4 linked regions of the Coturnix japonica genome follow. The protein of the gene in region 1 purifies or fractionates together with the protein of each later gene. This does not show direct contact. Links are inferred from orthologs where the notes say so. Each region holds a gene or a part of one and is shown on either strand. Other genes may lie near its edges. The genes, in order: CEP43, PPP2R3C, CEP350 and PPP2CB.

The links.
Region 2: the proteins of CEP43 (region 1) and PPP2R3C purify together in Homo sapiens (affinity purification with mass spectrometry; 3 studies listed by BioGRID and IntAct, counting the BioPlex papers as one, with this or other methods). This does not show direct contact. The link is inferred for Coturnix japonica from reciprocal best matches to the Homo sapiens genes CEP43 and PPP2R3C.
Region 3: the proteins of CEP43 (region 1) and CEP350 purify together in Homo sapiens (affinity purification with mass spectrometry; 6 studies listed by BioGRID and IntAct, counting the BioPlex papers as one, with this or other methods). This does not show direct contact. The link is inferred for Coturnix japonica from reciprocal best matches to the Homo sapiens genes CEP43 and CEP350.
Region 4: the proteins of CEP43 (region 1) and PPP2CB purify together in Homo sapiens (affinity purification with mass spectrometry; 4 studies listed by BioGRID and IntAct, counting the BioPlex papers as one, with this or other methods). This does not show direct contact. The link is inferred for Coturnix japonica from reciprocal best matches to the Homo sapiens genes CEP43 and PPP2CB.

What each region holds. Positions count from the first base shown.
Region 1 is NC_029518.1:38,164,638-38,168,997, reverse strand, and holds the start of CEP43 (FGFR1 oncogene partner), read left to right. Parts: upstream 1-1,506; 5' UTR 1,507-1,707; coding exon 1,708-1,797; intron 1,798-4,360. UniProt on the Homo sapiens protein: Required for anchoring microtubules to the centrosomes. Required for ciliation.
Region 2 is NC_029520.1:32,708,484-32,712,046, forward strand, and holds part of PPP2R3C (serine/threonine-protein phosphatase 2A regulatory subunit B'' subunit gamma), read right to left. Parts: intron 3,262-3,563; coding exon 3,125-3,261; intron 1,439-3,124; coding exon 1,301-1,438; intron 200-1,300; coding exon 140-199; intron 1-139. UniProt on the Homo sapiens protein: May regulate MCM3AP phosphorylation through phosphatase recruitment. May act as a negative regulator of ABCB1 expression and function through the dephosphorylation of ABCB1 by TFPI2/PPP2R3C complex.
Region 3 is NC_029523.1:5,670,146-5,673,708, forward strand, and holds part of CEP350 (centrosome-associated protein 350), read left to right. Parts: intron 1-580; 5' UTR 581-590; coding exon 591-666; intron 667-2,161; coding exon 2,162-2,193; intron 2,194-2,596; coding exon 2,597-2,711; intron 2,712-3,353; coding exon 3,354-3,486; intron 3,487-3,563. UniProt on the Homo sapiens protein: Plays an essential role in centriole growth by stabilizing a procentriolar seed composed of at least, SASS6 and CPAP. Required for anchoring microtubules to the centrosomes and for the integrity of the microtubule network.
Region 4 is NC_029519.1:30,568,965-30,573,257, forward strand, and holds the start of PPP2CB (serine/threonine-protein phosphatase 2A catalytic subunit beta isoform), read right to left. Parts: upstream 2,803-4,293; 5' UTR 2,665-2,802; coding exon 2,563-2,664; exon of another isoform or gene 1,375-2,562; intron 740-1,374; exon of another isoform or gene 1-739.

The sequences.
Region 1 (4,360 bases):
CTCTGGGGAAAGGACCCGGTCAGCTCTGGGAGCCATCCAGAATGTGGCTTGTCTTTCATGTCGTGATTGCTCATCACCTCACTGTTCTCACATCCACTTTTTGGTCTCCATAAATACCCAGGAATCATCAATGAATGGCACTGGGTGCCTTTTTTTTTCCCTTCTCCATGGAGGAATTCGGTTCCATATCTTTGCTTCGTATTCATTTCCATATCAGACACCATTTTGTCAGACTGCCCCACTGCTACCACCTGTTGCATGGCAACAAAACGTAATGGAAAGTTGGTGGGAACGTTCAGCCTCTACTGAATGATGTCATGGGCCAACATAGTGAAATAGGAGGAGTGCTCTGAAAGTAATGCCTCTTATTTCTCTGGTTAATTTATGTTGTGCTATCACAAAGCACATGGTACAGTCAGGTGAATGTTTTGAGTTTTGTCTCTGTTTGCAAAAGATATTATTAAAAAAGAATGATCCCGAAGCACCTTTTAGATCTCTTTATTAGGTCTGGAGTTGTATCAGAGGAATGAAATGGTGTAGATAATAGCAGGTAGTATGTTTCTACACTTATGTCTTGCTTCTGATGGGGCTTTGAGAAGCTGGAACTGAACTATTATCTGCTTTAAATAATAATAAAAATGCAGTGCTGTGGGATTTACTAGGGTTCAACCTTGTGCTGAGGTGAAAGACGGTCATTGTCTCCAGCTGCAGGACTCCTACTATCACACCTGGTGGAGCTCACTATGTCTTAAGGGATCGCCGCAGAACTGCTGCCACCTGCTGCACGTCACAGAATCACACACAGAATCACAGAATGACCCGGGTTGGAAGGGACCTCAAGGATCATGTAATTCCAACCCCCCTGCCTGGCAGGGCCACCAAACATACACCTTTACTAGATCAGGTTGCCCAGGGCCCCGTCCAACCTGGTCTTGAACACCTCCAAGGACGGGGCATCCACAACCTCCCTGGGCAGCCTGTTCCAGGGCCTAACCACTCTCCTAGTGAAGAACTTGCCCCTAGCATCCAACCTAAATCTTCCCTCTTTTAACTTAAAACCATTTCCCCGTGTCCTGCTATTGTCAGCCCTTTCAAAGAGTTTACTCCTGTCCTCCAGAATTGGATCCTCTTCCCACAACGCCTCATTTCATGCATTTCTTTCTTACATTCCCTGGATAGCCGTAAATTCCGAAGTTCTTCATGAAAACGTTTAGATCTTTTCAAGTGAAACTACGAAAAAGCTCGGCCTGGGGTAAATAGATGAATTCCAAAATCAATTATTGCGGCTGTTTACTATGCATCACATCTTAGACTCCCCCCAGCCTTCCTATGCGGCCGTGCAGCAGCAGCAGGGCAGTGTCGGCTCGCTGTCCCTTAGTGCCCGCCCTTTTGGCTCTGAGGGCCGCGTACGGTCGCGGATCTCACCGGCCGCTGCCGCTTTGAACTTCCCGCGCCCCGCTCCCAGTGGCGGTTGCGTTGCGCGTTCGCCGCCGCAGTTTCCACGGTGCTGCGGCCGCAGAAGAGCCGGTTGGCCGGGGCGCTGCTGCGTCTTACCGGGCTCGCTTTTGTAGGTAGCCTCTGTCCCGCTGCGCCCCGTGCCCTCGGACCAGCCGCTGTGTGTGTGTGTGTGCCTCCTGCGGCGGCGGCGAATCTGCCGGGCCCGTCCCGCCGATAGCGCGGTTTGGGCGGTTGTCAGGGAGAAACAAGATGGCGGCGGCAGCGGCGGAGGAGGACACGGAGCTGCGGGACCTGCTGGTGCAGACGCTGGAGAGCAGCGGGGTGCTCAATAAAATCAAGGTGCGACGGGAAGGCCTCTCCTCGTTGCGCAGCGCTCTCGCGGTGCCGTGCGGGTTGCGCTGCCGGTGCCGGCCCTGCTACTACACCTCGGGGCGTGTGGGTGCTCGGCAGGCTGCGTCCCCTCGCGCCGGTACAGGCCCACCCGGCTGTCACGGCCTGGCGGCGGCGCCCGCCCTCCCGGCGCTGCCTATAGCCCGCTCGGGCCGGGGCTTGGCGAGGAGCCGCGTCCAGCGAAATAGAGCTGCTGCGGGCCTGGCCTACGGGCTGCTCGGCGGAGAGCGGCCTGGCGGCTGTGCCCTCTCTTGCATTGAGTGCAGCGTGTCTGCCGAAGCCACTGCGCTGCTTTCCTGCTGCTGTCCAACCCGCCGAGCCGAGCTGGACGGAGCTCGCAGAATTTCCTTTCTCTTCCACGCTAAAAGATGCTATTGGTTATCTTCAGCTTGGTTATCTTAAGCCGGAGGCCTCGAGGCTCGCTGTTTAAACATAGGTGTGTAGGGTGGTGGAGTTGTGTCTTGGAAATTGGCTGAACCTAAGAAGGGCCTGTGTATGCTGTCTGCCTACTAATGCTGTATTAAAAAGCATTGACTGTTGTGATCCCCTGTTTCCTAGGAGAAATGGCTTTAAGTTGAAAGAGGGAAGATTTAGGTTGGATGTTAGGGGGAAGTTCTTCACTAGGAGAGTGGTTAGGCCCTGGAACAGGCTGCCCAGGGAGGTTGTGGATGCCCCGTCCTTGGAGGTGTTCAAGACCAGGTTGGACGGGGCCCTGGGCAACCTGATCTAGTAAAGGTGTATGTTTGGTGGCCCTGCCAGGCAGGGGGGTTGGAACTACATGATCCTTGAGGTCCCTTCCAACCCGGGTCATTCTGTGATTCTGTGATGAAGTGTAGTTGGTTTGCAAGCCTTTAGCCTGGACTTGTGTCAGCAAGGGTACAGAATTGGGTTCTGTGGATTCACACTCAAAGCTTTCAGCAATAACTGTTACATACAACAAAGAGCCACGCAGATATCAGGGATGAGAACTGTTGAATCTCATTGTAAGATCGGGGAGAAAAGAAGCTTGGATTTCAAATTAAGAATGGTGGCATTTATCCACAGAATTCTACTTGAAGCATTTTAATGAGTGGACAATCATGATTGGTATTCCAGGAATATATGAACAGCTGAAATGGTTGATGGAAGTGAGCACATCCTTGTGTCTGTACTTAGAAGCCCAGTGAGTATTGGCTACCTGTGATCACAGAATCACAGAATGACCCAGGTTGGAAGGGACCTCAAGGATCATGTAGTTCCAACCCCCCTGCCTGGCAGGGCCACCAAACATACACCTTTACTAGATCAGGTTGCCCAGGGCCCCGTCCAACCTGGTCTTGAACACCTCCAAGGACGGGGCATCCACAACCTCCCTGGGCAGCCTGTTCCAGGGCCTAACCACTCTCTTAGTAAAGAACTTCCCCCTAACATCCAACCTAAATCTTCCCTCTTTTAACTTAAAACCATTTCCCCGTGTCCTGATATTGTCAGCCCTTTCGAAGAGTTTACTGCCCTCCTGGGTGTAAGTTCCCTTCAGGTACTGAAAGGCTGCAATGAGGTCACCCTGTGATACTGTACAACAATGCACCATCATTACTAATGTGTTGCTCTTGCATTTCAAATGTATAATCCCTATTTAAATTCCAAAAGGAGATGAAGGGTTCGAGTTCACATAACTGTGTTTTGAGTAGGGTTACCAAAGCCATCGTCTTTTTGTTAAACTAAGGTAAGCATAGCTACACTCTGTTGTTATCAAATGGTTGTTTCTTTTGTTTTTGTAAATGAGTACTGGCATTTTTCAAGATGGATGAGGTTAGAAGTCCTACTGTAGATAATCTAGTCCAACACCCCAGCTATGAGTATGGACATCTTTCATTGGGTTGTCATATAAGGAAAAACAACCACTGTGCTTTCATAGCATTCCCTTGTTATTTTGTTTGATCTGTATCTTTCCATCTGGGGGGAAAAAAAGGTTTATGCTGCCTGAAATTTTACAGCATCCTTAGAACTTGCTGTTTCGACACATCTGAGGAATAAAAGCATTATGAATGTCTCGTGACTGTTAATGCTTTGGTCAGCTGATTCTTGCTAATTTGATTCAAACCCTGCATAGCTGCGGTGCTGGCTGATAATGTGTTGTGAGATGAAGTAAAAATACTATTAAAAAAATAATTCCTTTAATTACACTGCCATCAAGTTTAGTGACTTAGCCAATGAAGGCTGCTATGGTAAAGTTTTTTTCGCTTAAATGGATGAGGAATGAGGGTACAAATTACTGGTTCTTCTTAGGGGTAGTAACCTTGCAGTTGGGGAGTGACAGGACAGAGGTAATGAAGCTGCAGTCTCCAGCTTGGTACAAGCTTTGGATACAGGTGCTTATAGTTTCTAAGTCTGGAGTAATCGTTAGTGGTTAGACAGCTCGATGCTATGTTTGCTTGCTTACAAGACACCTTGATCACTCTATGCTTGTGTGTTTCTATTTCCTATAGTAAAATACTCTAGAGACATGCTACGTACCTACATGTTAGGATCT
Region 2 (3,563 bases), on another chromosome or scaffold:
CACAAGACACACAAGTCAGATTCACCTCTACTACCCTGCAATTAAATACATATCAACCTCAAAACTACAATACTCTATAGGTAAATTATGAAACGTTTATTCACATATTTCATGTAGTACTCTATTTGGGAATACTGACCTTGACATCCTGAAAAGAAACTGGTTCTTGTCCATGGATTTTCATTTGTTCCTGAATAGCCTAAAAAAGAAAAGTTAGAAATATGCAGTGCAGTGTTCTACTGATACTGTATGATACCTTCTAACATGCTTCTGCTTGTTAAGATGCATTGCTGTGTGACAAGGCATTAATAGAACAGCTTGCAATCGGTTCTCTTTCACACATAAGGCAGTGGTGAGTTAAGGTACAACCAGTGATGTGCATTTCCAAGTCCACAATCCTTAGTATAATAAGAATCCAGCTTCTATTATGACCAACATTTGAGCATTTGGAAGACAGGATATGCAGACACTCATATCACCTATTACTCAAGATAGGAATATATTCAAATCAGGAAATTCATTACTGACATATTCAGGGAGGTACTATTTACAAGGGCATGTAGCAACACAATGAGGGAAAATGGCTTTAAACTGGAAGTGGACCAGATATTAGGAAGAAATTCTTTCCTGTGAGGGTGGTGAGGCACTGGCATGGGCTGCACAGCCAAATTGTGGATGCCCCCTCCTTGGAAGTGCTTGAGGGATGGGGCTTTGAGCACCCTGGTCTAGAGGGAGCTGTCCCTGCCTATAGCAGGGCAGTTGGAACTACATGATCTTAAAGGTGCCTTCCAACCCAAACCACTATATGATTCTAAAAATTGTCAAGTAATATGGAGTATGACACAAGCGAGAAGCTTTTTGCAATGATGACCTGGGATGAAAAATCCCACAGCCTTACAGGCCATTGCTGTATTTCAGCATTTTCCTTTATTGTACCACATTTTAGGATTACAGTGGAAACTAAAAGCATGAGCAACAGTCAACTAGAACTATCATAAGTGATTTTAACAAGTAATCATTACATATATATATAATTTTATTTTTTAAGCAACAACATTTTTTCCTAGATTAAATCAAAACAGTTAATTTCAACTGCAGAAAAACAATGCTGAATGCCTTTTGAATTCTTTCCAAGTTCTGGAATATATTTTTTAGTGTTTTAAATCTTCTTACAAGCAGTTACTGGCTTCCCAGTGGGTACTGGTAATTTAAAGGGACTCCCTGCAGATCTGCATGCAGAAGCACACAGGCTATAACACCATAAACACAGAAAATGGCCTACCTGTATAAAGGGACTTACCCTAAAGAAATAATTAAGGGAAAAGACATTCAGGTATCCTTTGTTCTCAATGTCAAGCAGTTTGAAAATATATTGCAGAGCTGCAGGCTCCTTTCTGTTTTCTAATGCAAGTACAAAGTCCAGGTAGGTTTTATAGTCCTAAAAGTAGATACAATCATGTTTATTACAGTCTTCTTTCTAAATTGATTTTGCAAGCAGGAACATTATAATTGCCAGCTATTTCATTGTAGGGGATCAGTCTATTTTCTGAAAAAGACAAAATAAAATGGAAAATGGCTGCTACCACCAACATGAACAGAAAAGTTAGTTCCTAGTGACTGCTGAGGAGAGGAAATCTTGCCATTTTTAGATGTAAAACAGTATTCCAAACATAAATCCAAATGAAACAGGCTATATATACTTTAAAAAATGTTCATTACATCTTTAGAACACTGAACATACCTAATCAGTTAAGAAAAGCCGTAACAGTTTTCATTAGCACAAATTACAAGTGTTCAGAGGTAATAATCCCAGTATTATCCAAGAGCGAACCATCTGACCAGCTGAAGTACACAATCCTTAGACCAGAGAAGTTGTTTGATAATTTGTGTGGTTGAAGCATTAATAAACCGCACAGATATGTGCCTTCCTTATGTTTTCCTTTGTTGCTTACACCAATTTTTTGTTTCCTGATCAAGCTACAGTGGTGATAATTAAAGACAGAAAGCCTGCAGTCTTTTGTGTGTAACATCCATGTCTACCTTAAACATCAGAGGGTTGTGCTACCACTCAGAAGGACTTCAGCAGGCTGGAGAAACGGGCATCACACTGTGTTCAGAGAGAATACAAAGTGCTGCAAAAAAGGAGGAATAACCACATGCACCAGCACATGCTGGGGGCTAACCAGCCAGAAAGTAGCTTTGCATAGAATAAGCTGAGAGCCTTGATGGGCAACAAAGCTGAATATACATATGCAATGAGCCCTTGAAGCAAAGGCAACTGACAACAGCATTTTGAGCTGCATGAGGAAGAGTTTTACTGGCAAGTCAGCGAAGACAATGATTCTCTGCTTACCACTGGTTAGCCTGCATCTGAGTGCTACTCTCTGTTCTGGACTCTTGAGTGCAAAAGAGGTAAGGAACTATTAAAGCAAGTCAAACAAAGGGAAACTAAGAGGACTTCTAAGCTCAATGATTCAGCGATTCTACAAAAAATTACTAAGTGGGCAGCAATGTTATATAGTAAACTGGAGTTTAGCACATTTTAGAGGTAATTAATCATCTGAAAACAGATGTATTAGAAGTAGTGATACAGTACATAAAGCTTTCAAAATATACAGCACAGATATTTTTCATTTTAACTCTAATTTGGTTAGATTTCTCATGCTTCACAGCTAGGCAAAGTCTGCAATAAAAAAAATACACTACAGTCTTCATGAAGAAATGTACAGATTAGCTGATTAGCAATGTGCATATACATTAGCTGATAGTCCCAAGTGTGCCACTTGCCCTTGTCTCTCTTTCAAGAATTAAATTCCCTCTAAAAACATACATCTATCCTTTCTCAATGTGCACTTTACATATAGAACATACAAGTGGAAGAGAAGCTTTCTCCTGTGCTACCTGGATTCTGTACCATTGCTGCTTTTCAAAATGAGAAAGTTGTCTTCCAACTACACTGCAATCATCCTGATATTAAAAGTTTATTTGCTAATCTAACAAAGACCAACAAAAAGTTACTCTACCTCAAGCTACTCTTTTTGAAAAAGATACCGACTGTTGGACATTTCCCTTATTAATAAGTAAAAACTTCAATACTGTGAACAGAGTAAGATCACGCAATTACCATTTCTCCATCATAAGTTAGGCATTCCTGAAAGACACGGTCCAGGAATATGTTGGTCAGGGTCCCTGTTCCATACCGGGACAGCTCTTCTTTGCTGAGCATGCCATTGTGATCTTTATCAAGGTTTAAGTACTGTCCTAGGAAGGAAACAGATGACAAAATATAGCATCCCTATAGAAACAATAAAGCGTTTCAATGGAGAAGGAAAATTCAGCACATTTAACATTGAATTAATTTTTAACCATAGAAGTTAGTTAAGTGGGAGTAAGCTGGAACCACAAAAATATTCATGGATCATCATAATGAGCAATGGGAATAGTGGGGGTGAAGAAGGGGGTTTCCAAAACTTCAGGCTTCTAATAGCTCCATTGTAAAGTAAGGGCTCAAAAGTAAAGGCTGCTTATACTGGGAAGGAGCACAAGCCTGAGAAATACAGTAT
Region 3 (3,563 bases), on another chromosome or scaffold:
TTCCAAAAGGACGGGATGGGGACACCTGGAAAGCCAGCCTTTACACTTACACATGGCGTTATGAGTGGAAACCAGTGCTTGTTTAATATCTATTTGATATTAAAATTGGGCTTACTGTTTCAGTCTGACTTGTGATCTGCTCCACTCAGGTTCTGGGTTGCCAACAAGAACAAATAGTTTCATGCTTCTTTTCTTTTTTCAGCCTGATCTTCTTAAAATAATCTAGGAATAGATAGAGAATATCACTACACTGTGTTTTCAAGGGCATCATAAAAGAAGCTGTATATATCTGTGTTGATAGAGATGACAATTCTAGTCCCAGATTGAGATCCACTGTATATGTTGGTAACTCAGTGGATAAGTGTAAATCTCAAGTAATTACTTGGAGAGGGTTAATGAGTTCCCTTAAGAAACGGTTGCAAGTTCTCTTATGCTAAATGTATATACTGAGTGTGTTTTGTCATGTTTCTCTTGGTGCTACAAGCCTGATGATGGTGATTTCATCCCAGTGATCAAGGTCTTACTACCTTTAGCATGCAATTTATTTAATTTTTATGTGATTATATGTATTTTTTTGTAGATAAATTGACATGATGTGGACCAACAAGTCCAGTGAGGTGCCTCAGCAGAATCTGAGGCATAACCAAGCCAAGGATTCGACTGGAGGTATGGACTCTCTCTACTGTATTTCTTTGCTGTAAAAAGTCTTTTATCATGGCTTCTTTGAAACTTCATGGAGCTTTTATAGACAGCATTCTTCTGCCTCACTGTGGGAGCTAAGACCATGTATTATATGACTTATTTTCTGCAGAGGTAGCAGTTTGGTACTGTGATCTGCAGAGTATTTGCTGATCTGCGCTGGGAATTGCCAGCCTGTGGTGTGGCTGCCAAGATGGCATAGAGACAGATTTATTTTTCCAATGTTGTAGAGGGGGAACAGTGCAGGAACAGAGGTTGGGAACTGTACGCTCCTGAAAGAAGCATCTGATAAGCAGTTACTCTTGCCTCTAGCTCAGTTCCAAAGCGGTGAAGAGCTGCAGACTGTTGAGTAGAAGCAGTAGATCATCCCTGGCAGCACTTAAGTTGCCTAGAGCTGGAGGAATCCAATGAACCTTTTACTGTTGTGATTTTGTCTGTAATTGAAAGGGGGGGGGAAAAAAAAGTATATTACATCCCTAAGAGGAAGAAGGCTCTCATCTGGTAGAGCAGCTGAGTCACATGCTAAGTCTGTGGTTCACAATCAGGCATATGATCCTCACTGTGACCAAACTGGACTCCAGAAATTTCAAAGTAGGTACAGATGAATATTTTATCTACAAGAGGACATTATTATTGATTGTCTCCTGTGATACATTCAGTTTCTTTTCAAGTTATGTACATTATGAAACTGAGGGGCTCTGTAGACATGAAACACCATCTCTCAAAGGCAGAGCAGTCATTTTTGTCTTACTTTCTTATCCCTCCTGTTCCTTAGCATCGTTTTATCTTGCCCTAGATGGTATCAGCAGCTTTTTTACTGTAAGGAAAATGTATATATATTTAAGATTTCTTAATACTTCTGTCCTCCATGGCTCTGATCCACTTAAAGTTTTTGGACGTTGTGTTTGTAAGTAATTACACATATATATATACAAACACACACACACACACACACATTTAATTATATATATATATAATTTCTTAAAGAAAGAAGTGAACTGAAGAAGTAAATAATTGTAGAGGAAAGCACTGCTGTATCCTGCTGACATGGGCTTTGTGCAGAGCTCATGCTATTTGGATTAAAAGGCTGAAGTTGATTAGTGCCTTGTGCTTTGCTCTTCATGAACATTACTTCATCTAAGATATTTGTATTGGGGTAGATAACTGGCTTTGTTATCTTCTATAATGTGTGGTAGATCTGGTTTCAAGTCTTGTAATGCATTCAGCGTAACTTAGTGAACTCATTAAATCTGACATTAAATATCTTATTGCTCTGTTAAGATGAATCATGGCTGATAACAGCCTCTTACCGAGGGTATTTACAGGCTGGAATTGAGTCATTAAAAGAACTCAATTAGCGAGCCAATGAAAATTGTTCTCAAGCAGCATTTTCTTTCATTATTTTCCATTTAGTAATAAGTAACTTATTTCTTTTCTTCTGCTATACGTGATCCAACTGCAGGATGGACTGCCCTTTCTCAGACTAAGGCTGCTGTAAGTACTCGTTCTTAACTGCTTTGCAAATTAGAATAGTTGGAATGAAAATATTACTTTGTTCAGTGGTTTGCTGTTAGACAAGTTGAAAATGAAGCAAGAGATTGTGGAGTGCATGCATGTTGAACAGTCCTGTATCATTATGTATTGCCATTAATTTATTCACAACAGCTTACTTATGGAAACATATCTATATAACAGAGCATAATTCAGATGATCTTTTTAAACAAATCCTAATAATCTTCCACTTTTCTGGTCAAAAGCTCTCTAGTTTTTCAACACAACTATTGTGAAGTTGCTATTGGCCCACGGTTTTTATTCTTTATGAAAATGAGGGGAAAAATGACACGTGGGGAAAAAACTTGAAAGCAATATTTTAATATGCATAATCTTCAAATTCTAGCTACGTCATATAGAGAACAAATTGGAAATAGCTCCCACCAGCACAGCTGTGTTTAATTCTGTCATGGATGCCAAGAAGCCCTCTGGTAGTACCAGCAGGAAAGTAGGCAGGAAAGGTATGTATTATGTATGGCGTAGAATGCGATGCAGGGTGAAGCCACTGCAGTCTGGAAAGCCTTATTCTTTTCCTCCACCAACCCAACCTTCAAGTGTCCAGGGTGTCTTCTGCTAATGATCTCTACTGATGAGAAACTAATTGTGCAGAATAAACTAGTATTTTCTTCTCTTAGCTTGGGAATTAAAATTTGCAGTATGGCTAGAATGAATGACAGGGCTTGCCTATCGTTATGAGTGATCAGTGCTTATCTCATCTTGATAGCTTGTTTTATTGGGGTTTTGATAACAATTGTATATGCCTATATTGTATATGCTCTACTTACTCTTCAGTGCGTGTAGTAGATCAACTTTGAGTGGCAACACAGCGTACATAGGTTTAATTCCATCTAATTAATGTTTAAGCATTATTGTCTCTTGTTAAATTATAGAATCATAGAAAGGGTTGTGTTGAAAGGGAGCGCTTGCTAAGCATGCTCCTAGTTACTGCAATCAGACTGTAGTAAAAGAAAGGGAGAACTTTACATTTTCTTTTGGAGTGCTGCTTGAACTCCCCAAAACTGTGTTGCTTACTCATTCAGCTCCAAGAGCTTTCTCCTTCTGGAGAGTTAAATATATAAAGGGTTCTCTGGTTTCTGTTTCAGCTTCCCGGTCTTCCAGCCAAACTAAATCAGGCAAGGAGAAATCCTCACGCAGTCCTCTTCGAGCAACAACCCTTGAAAGCAATGTGAAAAAGAGCAGCCGGGTGGAATTTCGTGAACCATTGGCTTCATACAGGTTAGCTGGAACAACTGACTGTTAAAAATATACTCAAATAAAAATAAAGCTAATACTGGTATTGTTTGATAGTGATT
Region 4 (4,293 bases), on another chromosome or scaffold:
TTCACGTCCAACCTTGAGAGCAGTTCCTGTTAAAATGAATCCACCTCCTCAGTCTTTCAGCCTGGCTGTAGCTGCTCAAAGTGCAGGTAATGAGGGGCAGCAGTACCCACGCGGGATCAAAAGGAGTTCCATGCATTAAGTGCTACCCTTCTGTCAGTACCCAAATTCAAAGGCAGCACAACCACGGATACAAAACGTGCCACTGCACTTCTGATTAAGTGCAGACAGCATCCAAGACTGAGCTCTAAAGATTTTCTCACTGCCTATTTAATGGGGGAAAAAAAAAAAAGGCTTTTAACAACCTTCATCTACTCAGATGATCTACAATAATAAAGTTAAACAGTAAGAGATGCAAGAAGCCTAATGTTCATTTCCCTGATGGGCTGGAAACATTTCTGGTGCCTGGAAGCTCCAGTAGTGACAATAATTGTTTGTTTTTCTATTACATACTAAATATCAGCATGACTTTAGTTTTCATTTTAAGAGCAGCAGAACAGGAAGTGTTTTAATGTTATCACCAGATGACATCTTGATTAATTCTACAAAGACTCTAAGATGGATTAGCTGCCAGTTATGTCATAACCAGGCAGATCAATTTACAGTGATTCTACAGGTGCAATTATCAAAAGCTTTCTGAGAGAAGAACAGCTGCTATCCCCTGTGTGAGCCAACTATCTCCAGTCCTTCCCTCCTCACTGTCTGTGAGGCCAGCAAGTGAAACCAAGAACGATACACACAGGTAAGTCTGGGACTCAATTTGGTTTTGTATCCCATGCTTTCATAGAAAACTTTCAGAGTATTTTTTTTATTTTATTTCCCCCCCGCCCCCCCATTTTAACCACCTAATACTATTACTAATTTAAAAACTAAAGCAAGAGTTACTATTGCATATGACCAGAAAGGTTGTTAAGGGTTTCTCCAAGTATTATCTTGGGGAAGCAACCCAAGCTTTCTGACAGCGCTGCAGATCAGTTACCAACGCTACCTGAAAACCAGATGCTCCAATAGCTTACATTTATTTCCGAGCAAACATGCTGTGCCTCACAGGTTCGCATGGTTCACATCCTACCCGTCATTTTGGAGGACTGACATTCCTTTCACCTGCAGCTGTGCTCTCCACTTGGCACCTCTCCCTGCTTTGCAGCCACTGACTGCAATACAACCTACTGATCATACCATCCAGCTTCTGAAAGCACAGCAGCCACAGCTCCTTCTTTGGCTTTGCTGTTAATTAAGAAGGGAATTATTACTATTATTATTATTATTATTATTATTATTATTATTATTATTATTATTATTATTATTTAGCAGCTTGGTGGTTGGTGCAGCAGTTCAGAACTCTTGCTGTTCTGAACTGCAAATCAATTCTTTCAGGCTCATCAGCTGGACTTCAAACGACAGCACAGCTACAAGAAGCTCACTCTTTTGAAGACATCTACATCTCAAGGCTCTTCAATTGCTCCCTGCTGCAGCACCAGCCCTTCTCACAATTGTCCCAGCTTGGTGAGTGCAGAAAAAGCCATAAAGCAAATGGGCAGTTACAGCGTGGGTAAAAAAACAGAATGGGAGAAACAGGCCAGTGTGCAGCCAGACAATCCAGGACTACTAGTAAAAGTGTATGTCAGGCAGCCACGGCTTTGACTTCTAACAAATATCTGCCTGTGACACTCAGCTCCTACCTTTTGAAGGGCACTCCTAGCATGCTATAAGGCGGTGGTGCAGGCTCTCTCTACTGTTCAAACCTATTGCTGCGGTGGCCTACTGAAGACTTGGGGGGAAAAGAAAAAAGAAATAGTTCCATCTTCTGAAAGCTGCCACTGGCCAGAATGCCAGGAACAGGCACCACAACAGATCACCTGCTTCTGCAAGAGCTCAGTGAGACACAGGTAATGACAACACAAAACCTAGCTCGCTATCAGCAATACAAACAGTACAGGGACCAATGAACTAGCTGTCAGGCACATGAGGCAGAGCAGTTACCAGCTGATCCAGTGCACGGCAATAGTCCCTGCTGTCACTGAGGTACATAGAGAACACAATCTGAGCTGCTGTGCTGAGCCCACCTCAGCTCCTTGGCCTTGTCACAGCTCGTACATTCAAGCAGATCCTAGCTCAGCTATACACTGCAGTATGGATGGTTATGCTCGCACACAGGCATTTAACTTCTCAGACAAAAGCCACCCAAACCTGTCTCCTGACAGGAGAAAAGGCTCTTTGCGGCAAACTATATTACCTCTCCAACCACTTCCTGCTCTATCCCGGCCTCCCTCCCCACAACGTAGGCCTGTCTTTAAGGCGGCAGCACAGCCCACCCGCTGCCCCTCATCACACGTCAGGGCTTTCCCCACGGCTGCGGGCCGACGGCCGCGCTCCGGCTCGGCGCCGTTCTACAGCCGGCGCTTCTCGCAGTGATCCGCCATGCGGGCAGCGCCGGGCGGGCCACGACGGCCGGCCCCGAGGCACAGCCGAGCCCCCTCCAGCCGGCCGCAGCTCCAGGCCTCGCACGGCCATCTTCGGCACGGCCGGCCCCAGCGCCGGGCCGCCTCTCCCCGCCTCACTCACCTTCTCGCAGAGGCTGCGGACCTGGCTCTCGCTCAGCTGCCGGCACTCGTTCAGCTGCTCGATCCACTGGTCCAGCTCCTTGGCGAAGCTCTTCTCCTCCATGGCGGCGCTGCCGGCCGGGGCCGGGCCCCCCCCGCACTGGGCGCCCGCGAGGCCCGGTCCCGCCTGAGGCTGCCGGCGCAACGGCGGGGGCGCGCGGCCTGCTGCGCTCCCGGAATGGCGGCCCCCGGCCCTGCGCACTTCCGTCTGCCGCCGCCCCCGCCCGCGCTTCCGCTCCGGCACTGCGCGTGCGCGGCGCCTCGCGACGGGCGTAACGGTCCGTCCCTCAGGTGGAGCTGGGAGTCAAAGGGGTTAGAGCGCTGTGCGCCTATAGCGAGCTGTGCAACTGAAAGTGCGTTCAGCAGAGTCAAAGGGAGTCATGTATTTACACAAATACAGTTTGTTTAGTTGCTCCTAAAAGTCCTCTGCCATTCTGTACTCATAAATGATGCCTTTTGTGAGCTGTGAACAGCTTGGAAGACTCAGCCAAGAGAGCCCCTGGACCGCTGAAACCAACTGGGACTCTCCCACTATCTCACCAAAAGGGAGCCCTGAGGGAATTCTACTTCTCAGTCTCGTAAATTAAGACTTAAGCAACCAGATCCATAAAGCATTTGTAATGCTTCCACCTGGTCCTTGGTGAGGACACCAGGGCGGTGTAACTTCAGCCCCACTGTGTTATGCACCTGGAAGATGTTTTCCACCTGGACCGGATGGCTCCACGCAGTGCTGAGGTTGATGCTGACGTGCTGGAAAGAGGTATGTGCCTAAGAGAAGTCACCCAACCCTCCACAGGGTCCTGCTGGTGTGGTATTCACTCCAGCGCTCCTATATCTCCTCCCTGCATATCACCCGTGCACAGCACAGCCCTCACATTCACCCCCCATGCTGCATGGGCTCTCCCTGGTACCCCTAGCACCTGACACAGTCTTGCACACCTCTTCTGCAGCGGCTCTGCTGAGTCCCAGCACACTTGTGGGAGAGGCAGTATTGGGTGGTTGCACTTGATGGGGCACAATACATCATCTGAGGAAACAAATATACATTATTCAGGGTGGTGTGAGGATGCTTGGCACTCCCAGGAACTGAGCAGAACTTGCTGCCTCCCATTTGAGGCTACAGGGAGGCAGAAATGGGCACTGTTGTTCCTTTAATTTCATCTACTCACAGACTGGATTCTGTACCTGAAGATGCATGGGAAAAAAGGCTTGCAACCACTTGTGAGTGCTGCCTTCCTTTGTACCATCTCTAGTAACCAATGCAAATGCCTTGTTAATGCATGGTACTGAAAAACCAAGACGGTGTTGTCTGCCTTTCTGAGGAGGAAGAAAAGATTTTGCTAGGTCTCCTTCTGTGAACATCATTAGATGTCCACAGCTTTTGGCTGCTGTTTTCAGTGAGTTCATCACAATAAATCATTTCTTTCTAAAATGCAAAACACCAACATCAGAAATTACTTAGCCTCCAGGAAACATTAATAACAGTCTTATCTCTTAACTGTTAAGTATACTGAAATGCAGCGATTCTTCTCTTGTGCACTTACCATTTTGAAGGGTGTAATTATGAAACACTGGTGAAAGAGGACATAAGGTTGAAAAGCCCTGGGGAGAAGATGCGAGAGGCAGATTTATATTCTGGGTCTTGGTTAAAATTATTGCCCCTCACAGACGGACACATTTCTATGTCTCTCTC